2 linked regions of the Oryctolagus cuniculus genome follow. The protein of the gene in region 2 purifies or fractionates together with the protein of the main gene of each other region. This does not show direct contact. Links are inferred from orthologs where the notes say so. Each region holds a gene or a part of one and is shown on either strand. Other genes may lie near its edges.

The links. Proteins that work in one complex are often made in the same cells at the same time.
Region 1: the proteins of SNRNP70 (region 2) and GEMIN2 purify together in Homo sapiens (affinity purification with mass spectrometry; 5 studies listed by BioGRID and IntAct, counting the BioPlex papers as one, with this or other methods). This does not show direct contact. The link is inferred for Oryctolagus cuniculus from reciprocal best matches to the Homo sapiens genes SNRNP70 and GEMIN2.

What each region holds. Positions count from the first base shown.
Region 1 is NC_091443.1:36,514,805-36,518,448, forward strand, and holds part of GEMIN2 (gem-associated protein 2), read right to left. Parts: intron 1,545-3,644; coding exon 1,476-1,544; intron 372-1,475; coding exon 261-371; intron 1-260. UniProt on the Homo sapiens protein: The SMN complex catalyzes the assembly of small nuclear ribonucleoproteins (snRNPs), the building blocks of the spliceosome, and thereby plays an important role in the splicing of cellular pre-mRNAs.
Region 2 is NC_091449.1:8,223,411-8,227,689, forward strand, and holds the start of SNRNP70 (U1 small nuclear ribonucleoprotein 70 kDa), read right to left. Parts: upstream 2,856-4,279; 5' UTR 2,589-2,855; intron 2,077-2,588; 5' UTR 2,067-2,076; coding exon 1,920-2,066; intron 1-1,919. UniProt on the Homo sapiens protein: Component of the spliceosomal U1 snRNP, which is essential for recognition of the pre-mRNA 5' splice-site and the subsequent assembly of the spliceosome. SNRNP70 binds to the loop I region of U1-snRNA.

The sequences.
Region 1 (3,644 bases), on a different chromosome or scaffold from region 2:
AGATGAACCTGAGGAAGCCACATGTGGCAGAACCCAAAGGCCTGGGTTACTGCTATATTACATCTTGTCTGCCTACTTCCTTTATCTGAGGACAACAATGCCATTTTATTTAAGTTGCTAGTATTTTCCACTTTCTTGTTATGTGGCCAATTCTAATTGCAACTAACAAAATATGCCAAAGGTCTCCCTTCTATTGGAATTTTTCACCACTATAAAAACTGCTGGATGCTTTCAATTTGGAAAAGTGAGGTGAAACTTACCACTAAGAGCCTCACTTCAGAGCACCTTCTTGCAAGCTGCCGAATCAATGAGTGAGCCTCAGGTAATAAAGGTTTTTCAAGACAAGCCAATAAAGCATAAAGCCATCTTCCCTAAATAGGATTAAAAAAAAAACTATTAAATCACAAGTTTAAATATTCTAAGCTGTGCCTGGTTATCTTCCATGAATAAATTCATACAACTCATTACTGTGTTACATTTAGACCCTCAGATACACTCTTTCACAAATATCTTTAGCTGTGAAACACTGCTGGTTTCTAAAAACTAAATCTTTCAAAGATGATAAAATTTATTAAAATTAGAAAGAACAAACAGGTAATTCATTTAAAAATATTCATCAAATTAACCCAACTTTTAAGGCCAAAAAAAAATGAGTTGTGAATATAAAGCAATAAAGTAAACACAGTGTAGCATAGTTCTAACAGTGTAGAAATAGAGCCAGACTGCCCTGACTTGAGTCTGAATTCTGCCAATTACAAGCTGTATTATGTTAATTGAGTATTGTGGATAATAACAGTTAATAAATTGTTGAGGGCCCAATGAATTATTATATGTAAGGTTCTTAGAATAATGTCTAGCATGTAGTACTTGCTGTTGTTGTTACTTCTGATCCTTTTGTGGACTGATTTCAAGGTCATTTTAGAAAATGCATTCTAAACTTTAACCAGTGCCACTGGAAGTGGGGTTTGCAGACTTGTTGCCAGCCTGTGAGCACACTGTTACTGCTCAGCACTGAGATAAGTAGTTTGTACCAGGATATAAATTAACTCTTTGGTTGACATTTGTCCTCTTCCCCCTCCCTGCCAAAGGAAGACTTTGTCAACGAAGGAAGCAGTATGTTGATTTACACCCTGGTGTAGGTTCCTTATTGCACCACAAACAAGCATAGTTCAGATTACACGTATACTGTCATGTATCACTTAAGGACAGGGCCACATTCTGAGAAATACATTATCAGGCTATCATGTCATTATGCATACACATAGCAAGTACTTACACAAACTAAGACCAGGCTATATAATCTTAGAGGACCACTACTGTAGATGAAGCCCTCCTTGCCCAAAAACATCATGGTGTGGCACAAGGCTAGTAACACATTTGAGTATACACACACACACACACAAATACCATACAGTCACACCTCATGTATCCTATGAAAATAAAACTGAATTATGAAAATAAAAAGATAACACTACCAATTCTGGAGTAAAGTCTCTTTCTCCAAACCAATTACTCAGATATTCCAAGACACTAGTTACTGTTGCCTAAAAAGAAGGGGGGGGGGGGATAGTGGCACAGAACAGTTATAATATTAGTAATAAATACTGACAAATTCAATAGGAGTTTCACTAAATTTAGTTAGAAAGCAACATTTAAGATTGTCTCATTCTTTAGATTTCCAAAGAAAACTGACTCATTAATAAGAGTCACCTCTGGGAATAGGCTTTCTTTTTTCCAAAAAAACCAAAGAAACCTTTTATTTAAGGAATACAAACTTCAGAATTTCTTAAGTACAAATTTAGGAATACAGTAATTCTTCCCATCATACCTGCCCTCCCTCCTACCCACACTCCCACCCCTCTTCTTCTTCCCTCTCCCATTCCCAGTCCCATTCTCCACTAAGATGCATACCCTCCAATGGCCGCCACGGCCAGCGCGCTGCAGCTGGCGCACCGTGCTGATCCGAAGCCAGGAGCCAGGTGCTTCTCCTGGTCTCCCATGGGGTGCAGGGCCCAAGCACTTGGGCCATCCTCCACTGCACTCCCGGGCCACAACAGAGAGCTGGCCTGGAAGAGGGGCAACCGGGACAGAATCCGGCGCCCCGACCGGGACTAGAACCCGGTGTGCCAGTGCCACAAGGCGGAGGATTAGCCTACTGAGCTACAGCACCGGCCCTAAGATGCATTTTCAATCAACTTTATACACAGAAGATCAACTCTATACTAAGTAAAGAGTTCAACAATTTGCACACACACACACAAAACTGTTTCTCAACACTTGAGACAAGGGCTGTTCAAGGTCATTATATCTCGAAGTTAATTTTACCTTTTTTTTTTTTTTTGAGAAAATTAAGTTTAAAGAAGCATTCAAGAATGATACATCTTTTGGGAGCAATTAGACATAACTATAACTTATGAGACATAAGACCTCCACTTAATAAAAGAAAATAAGTCCTTGAGAACAAATTTTATCATTAGTTAAGGAAGCACCTAAGAAAACAAGCAAAGGAGTTGGACACTTAGGCAGATGTAAAACTTATGAGACTTAAAAATATCATTCACTTAATACACTAAAACAAAATAAATCTTTGAGAACAAGTTTCACTGTTAACTATGATAACACAACTCTTTGGAGGACAGAGGTCTTGCATGGGAAGTTAGTGCACAATGACTCCTGTTGTTAATTTAACAATTAACACTCTTATGTATGATGTCAGTGACCACCTGAGGCTCTTGACAAGTGCTGTCTAAGGTATGTAAGCCTTCTGAATTCACAAACTCCGTCAGAACTGTATGGACTTATTTTCTTTTACTGTATAAATCAAGGTCTTATAAGTTATAGGTATGTCTAATTGCTCACAAAAGATGTATCGTTCTTGGTGCTTCTTTAAAGTTAATTAAGTCAGAATTTGTTAAAATTTAGACAAGGCCATAAGCAAAGTGGAAGTTCTCTCCTCCCTGCAGAAAAAAGTACATCCTTCTTTGATGACCACCACTTCTACTGGAGTTTCACCCACAGAAGTCCTTCATGTAGGACATTTTTTGCCATAGTGTCTTGGCTTTCCATGCCTGAAATGATCTCCATGGGCTTTTCAGGTAGACCAGAATGCTTTAAGGGCTGATTCTGAGGTCAGAGTGCTACTTAAAGCAATTGTCATTCTATCAGTCTGCTTTATGAACTGATGCCCATGTTGGAGCATTGACTCCTTTTTAATTCTATTATTACAGAAATGTAATCCAGACACTTACTCCTATTTATATGAATGCTTTAACACTTAAAATGCTATTTTTACCATCCAGCTTAAGGGGATTTGGGGTGGGAATAGGCTTCTAAGACAAATATTCCTATACTTTCAAATATCAATGAATGCCTTGATTAAAATACTAGGATTTAGTTTGTAACTACTAATATAATTTAAAACTATTTGAAAAACTTGACAAACTCTTCAAAAAAAGAGTCTTTACCTTTAGTCCATTTCTCAATTCAAAACAAAGTACAAATCTGAAGAAACAAATCTAGAAAGACCTGTTTTACAGCTATACAGGTAGAATTTATCAAACTCTTGAAAAAACATCCTGTGGCTTATTCAAATATGGCTTACCAAAAAACCTACACTGATAGAATTTACAATGACAGCTGCAGTA
Region 2 (4,279 bases):
CAGGGGCCAACCACTTGGGCCATCCTCCACTGCACTCCCTGGCCACAGCAGAGAGCTGGACTGGAAGAGGGGCAGCCGGGACTAGAACCCGGTGCACATATGGGATGCCGGTGCTGCAGGCAGAGGATTAACCAAGTGAACCACGGCGCCAGCCCCAGGTGTTTCTTTTGAAAACCCCAAGAGCTGACACATGGCACAGTGAAGCTGCCACCTGTGGCGCCAGCATCCTCTATCAGAGTGCCGGCTGGAATCCAGCTGCTCCACTTACAATCCACCTCCCTAATGCGCCTGGGAAAGCAGCAGACGATGGTCTGAGTGCTTGGTCTCTGTCATCCACGTGGGAGACCTGGACAGAGTTCCTGGTTTCTAGTTTTGGCCTGGCCCAGCCATAGCTTCTGCAGCCATCTGTGGAGTGAGCCAGTGGACAGAAGACCTGTCTCTCCCTCTCTCCTTCTCATTCAAAATAATCTCACTACATTTATTGAAATTTTCAATCTTGGGCTGTTGCAGCAGCGTGGAAGATGAAACCTCTCTACAGCGCTGCATCCCACACAGGCACTGGTTTGAGTCCCGGCTGCTTCACTTCTGGTCCAGCTAAGGCCTGGGAAAGCAGCAGACGATGGTCCAAGTGCGTGGACCTCTGCACCTTCACAGGAGACCCAGAAGAAACTCCTGACTTCTGGCTTCAGACCAGCACAGCTCCAGCCACTGCGGCCATGTGGGGAGTGAACCAGTGGACGCAAGACCTTTCTGTCTCTCCCCTCCTCCTCTGTAACTCTGCCTTTCAATTAAATAAATACTAATTCCTTTAAGATAGTCTCACAGGTCCCTGTCTTGCACCGACGACGACGTGTCTGAGGACGTGACAAAGCAGAGTGGGGGCGGGGGCGCTTGCTCAGGAGAGCAGCAGCAGGAGCTGACACCTGGGCACGTCCTGAGGGCCAGGCAGCTCTCTGAGCCCTCGCAGCCACTCCGTAGGCAGCGATCACCAGACAGAGTTGCTGGCCTGTGCCCATTAAATTAATTTAATTGGCTAATAACACTTCCCAAGCACGAGTTCACTGGGAGTGGCCAATCCAGTAAGAGCCACCTTGTGTCACCTCGGCTCTGGAGCCTCCATCGCAGCCTCTCCCTACAGCACTGGAGCGGCCTGTGACACGGACCGCCCTGAGGCGGGGTCATCACCCGACCTTACAAATGAAAACACTGAGATCCCGGAGCCTAAGCTGCACCAACGGTGACCCACAGTGCAGATCTGAGAGCCCCAGGCTACGGTCTTAATTACGCCACCCACACAGTGCCAATTCTTCAGGAACGACACTCCGTTAACAAGAACGGCAAATACAGGGGCCGGTGCTGTGGCACGGTGGGTTAACACCCCAGCCTGCAGCGCCAGCATCCCATAGGGGCTGCCAATTCGACTCTCCGCTGCTCCACTTCTGATCCAGCTCTCTGCCACGGCCTGGGAACGCAGTATAAGACGACCCAGGTCCTTGGGCCCCTGCACCCGTGTGGGAGTCAGGGAAGCTCCCGGCTTCGGATCAGCTCAGTTATGGCTGTTGCGGCCATCTGGGGAGTGAACAAGTGGATGGAAGACCCCTCTCTCTCTAACTCCATCTTTCAAATAAAGAAAAATAAATGTTTTAAAAACATGGCAAATACAGTCACAAATGCTGACACGTATCGACTGCTTGGTACCAAGCGCTCTGCCGTAAATGCTATTTATTCTCCGTCCTGCTGTCAAAGACAGCGAATGCATCGTGGGGATTCTGTACCGCCCAAGACCACACAGCAGAGAAGCACCCGGCGTCCGCGGCCGACCCCTCCCGCCGCGTCCTCCCCAGCGCCTTCCAGGGGCTGCCCTGCCAGGCCCCCCGAGGCCTGGAAGTGTCCACAGCCGCGAAGCCGGCCTGGCTCACCTCGAACTCCCGGATGTAGGGCGCGATGCCGCAGTAGGGCTGGTTGTGGTGCTTCTCGTGCGGCAGCTTTTCCAGGGGCGGCAGGTAGGGGATGGGGTCCCGGGGAGCGAAGAGGGCCAGGAGGTTGGGCGGCAGGAACTGGGTCATCTTGCCAGGTCTGGGGAGAGAGGGTCAAGGCCTTGTGGCGGCTGCCTCGCCCGGGGAGCGCGCCGCCGCCGCCGCCGCCGCCGGGGGAACAAAGGCCGAAGCGCGGGCGAGCGGGCAGTCGGGGCTGCGGCCGAGGGAGGCGCCCGGGGCGGGGGTCGCAGGCGCTGGGTAGCCGGAAGTCGGCGCGCACCCCGCTCCCCGCCCCCACCACGCAGGGGCTTGTGGGTAGCAGGTCTGGGCTCCCGGCGGCGAGAGGCATTGTGGGTAATGGTCCAGGGCGCCCCGAGAAGCGAGGGAGGGGGCGGGGAAAGGGCAACAAACGCGCAAGGGCCTGTGGGAAGGGGACGGCGGCGGGCGGGGGCGTGTTTTGGGGAGAGCGCCGAGTGTCCGGGAAATTCTAGGCGAGGGCCGCGGAACGGTGCTGCAGGGGGGACGCGGCCGTCAGGGAGGGGACCCCGGCCCACCGCAGGGGCTTGTGGGTAGCGGCCCCGCACCCCCTCAAGACCACTGGGTCCCACTCACCCGCCGCGCGGTGCCCTCCTCGGCCTGGCGTCGGTCCGGGGGCTCGCGGCGGCTGCGGCGGCCCTTCAGCAACAAGCACTCCTGCTCCGGCTTCGACTCCGGCGCCGTCGGACTCGGTCGCCCGCCCCCCGCGCGCGCAGCAGGCCTCTGCTCGCGAGCCCGCGCGGCTTCGGCTCGCAACGGGAGCAGGAGGTGGAGCCCGGCCTCAAATCCCTCCGCCGTCGCCCTGCGCACGCGCAGCGCCAGCCGCGCGCAACCGACCTACAGACACCGGGGCCGCCGCGGGCACGGCGCACGCGCGAGGCCCTTGCCCCGCCTCCCGGCGCCTTCAACTGCGTGCCGCGGCTGGCTGCGGCCGTACTACGCACGCGCGCTCGTCCCCAAGCGCCGCTTTCCACCTCGCGCCTGGACTCCAACCGCCTTTGCCCGCGAGGCTCATCCCGAAGCCCCGCCCCCTTACCTAGCACACTTCCCGGATCTTTGGCGCATGCGCATTGACTAGAGAACGGGTAATACCCTTCCGCCACCTGGCAAAGAGTCCCTACGGGAATAGTGTTGGTTGCGTTGATCGTCCGGCTAGTGGGCGTCCAGCAATCGCTGTTTAGGCGCTGGAGGTGTGAAAACCTGATTTTTGGTTCCTTACTTTGTACTGAGGGAGAGTGTAAAGGTATTTAGATGAAAAATACAACTTCAGGTAGTGGCCATCTCAAGGACAAGAGCAGGGTGGGGGGCGGGAGGGGACAGCGAGGGGGACAGAGGCGCCCAGGGCGATCGGGGCGCGGCTAACGGCAGGTGCCCAGGGCCTGAGCTGGGACGGGCATTTCCTGGGTGTCCTGCATGGGCACTTGGTCCCAGGACCGAATTCTGCCCGTGAGTGTGAAATGGCCCGCTGCTCACTTAACGATGCCTAACACAATGTGAAGCCTGCGCCAAAATTATCCTTTATCATTTAGGGCATGAAGAAAAGTCTGCGTGTTCAGTACAGACGCGCTGTTTGCTTTCTGGAATGTTTCGGGTGCACAGCCCGTGGTGGTGGAGAGTGGACCGCACTGTGCTTGATGCCTTTAGGGGGAGCTCCGTTGCCTCGTTCATGATACCCAGATTACTAACTTCACTTTTTTGGCACAATTTTTACTTATTGGGAAGGAGAGGGACGCAGAGCGGTCTTGCTGGTTCACCCCCGAGACGCCCACGACAGCCAGGGCTGGCTCACAAGTCCTGGGGCGCATTGAGTGAGGTGCGGTCGCCGGGACCTGCGTGGGCGTCGTTTCTGAAATCCTTGCAGGGGTCAGGGGCTGGCGCTGGGACACCGGGCAGCCCCACCGGCGAGGCTGGCGTCCCAGCTGCTGCGTTTCCCGCCAGCTCCCTGGCCAGGGGCCCGAGCAGAGGAAGACGGCCTGTGTGGGAGGCCTGGGTGGGGTCCTGGCTCCTGGCTTCAGCCTGGCCCAATCGCAGACATTTGGGAAGCGAACCAGCAGACGGAAGATCTCTGTCTCTGTCTCTGTCTCTCTCTTTTTTTTTTTTTTTTTTGACAGGCAGAGTGGACAGTGAGAGAGACAGAGAGAAAGGTCTTCCTTTGCCGTTGGTTCACCCTCCAATGGCCGCCGCGGCTGGCGCACCATGCTGATCCGATGGCAGGAGCCAGGTGCTTCTCCTGGTCTCCCATGGGGTGCAGGGCCCAAAGACTTGGG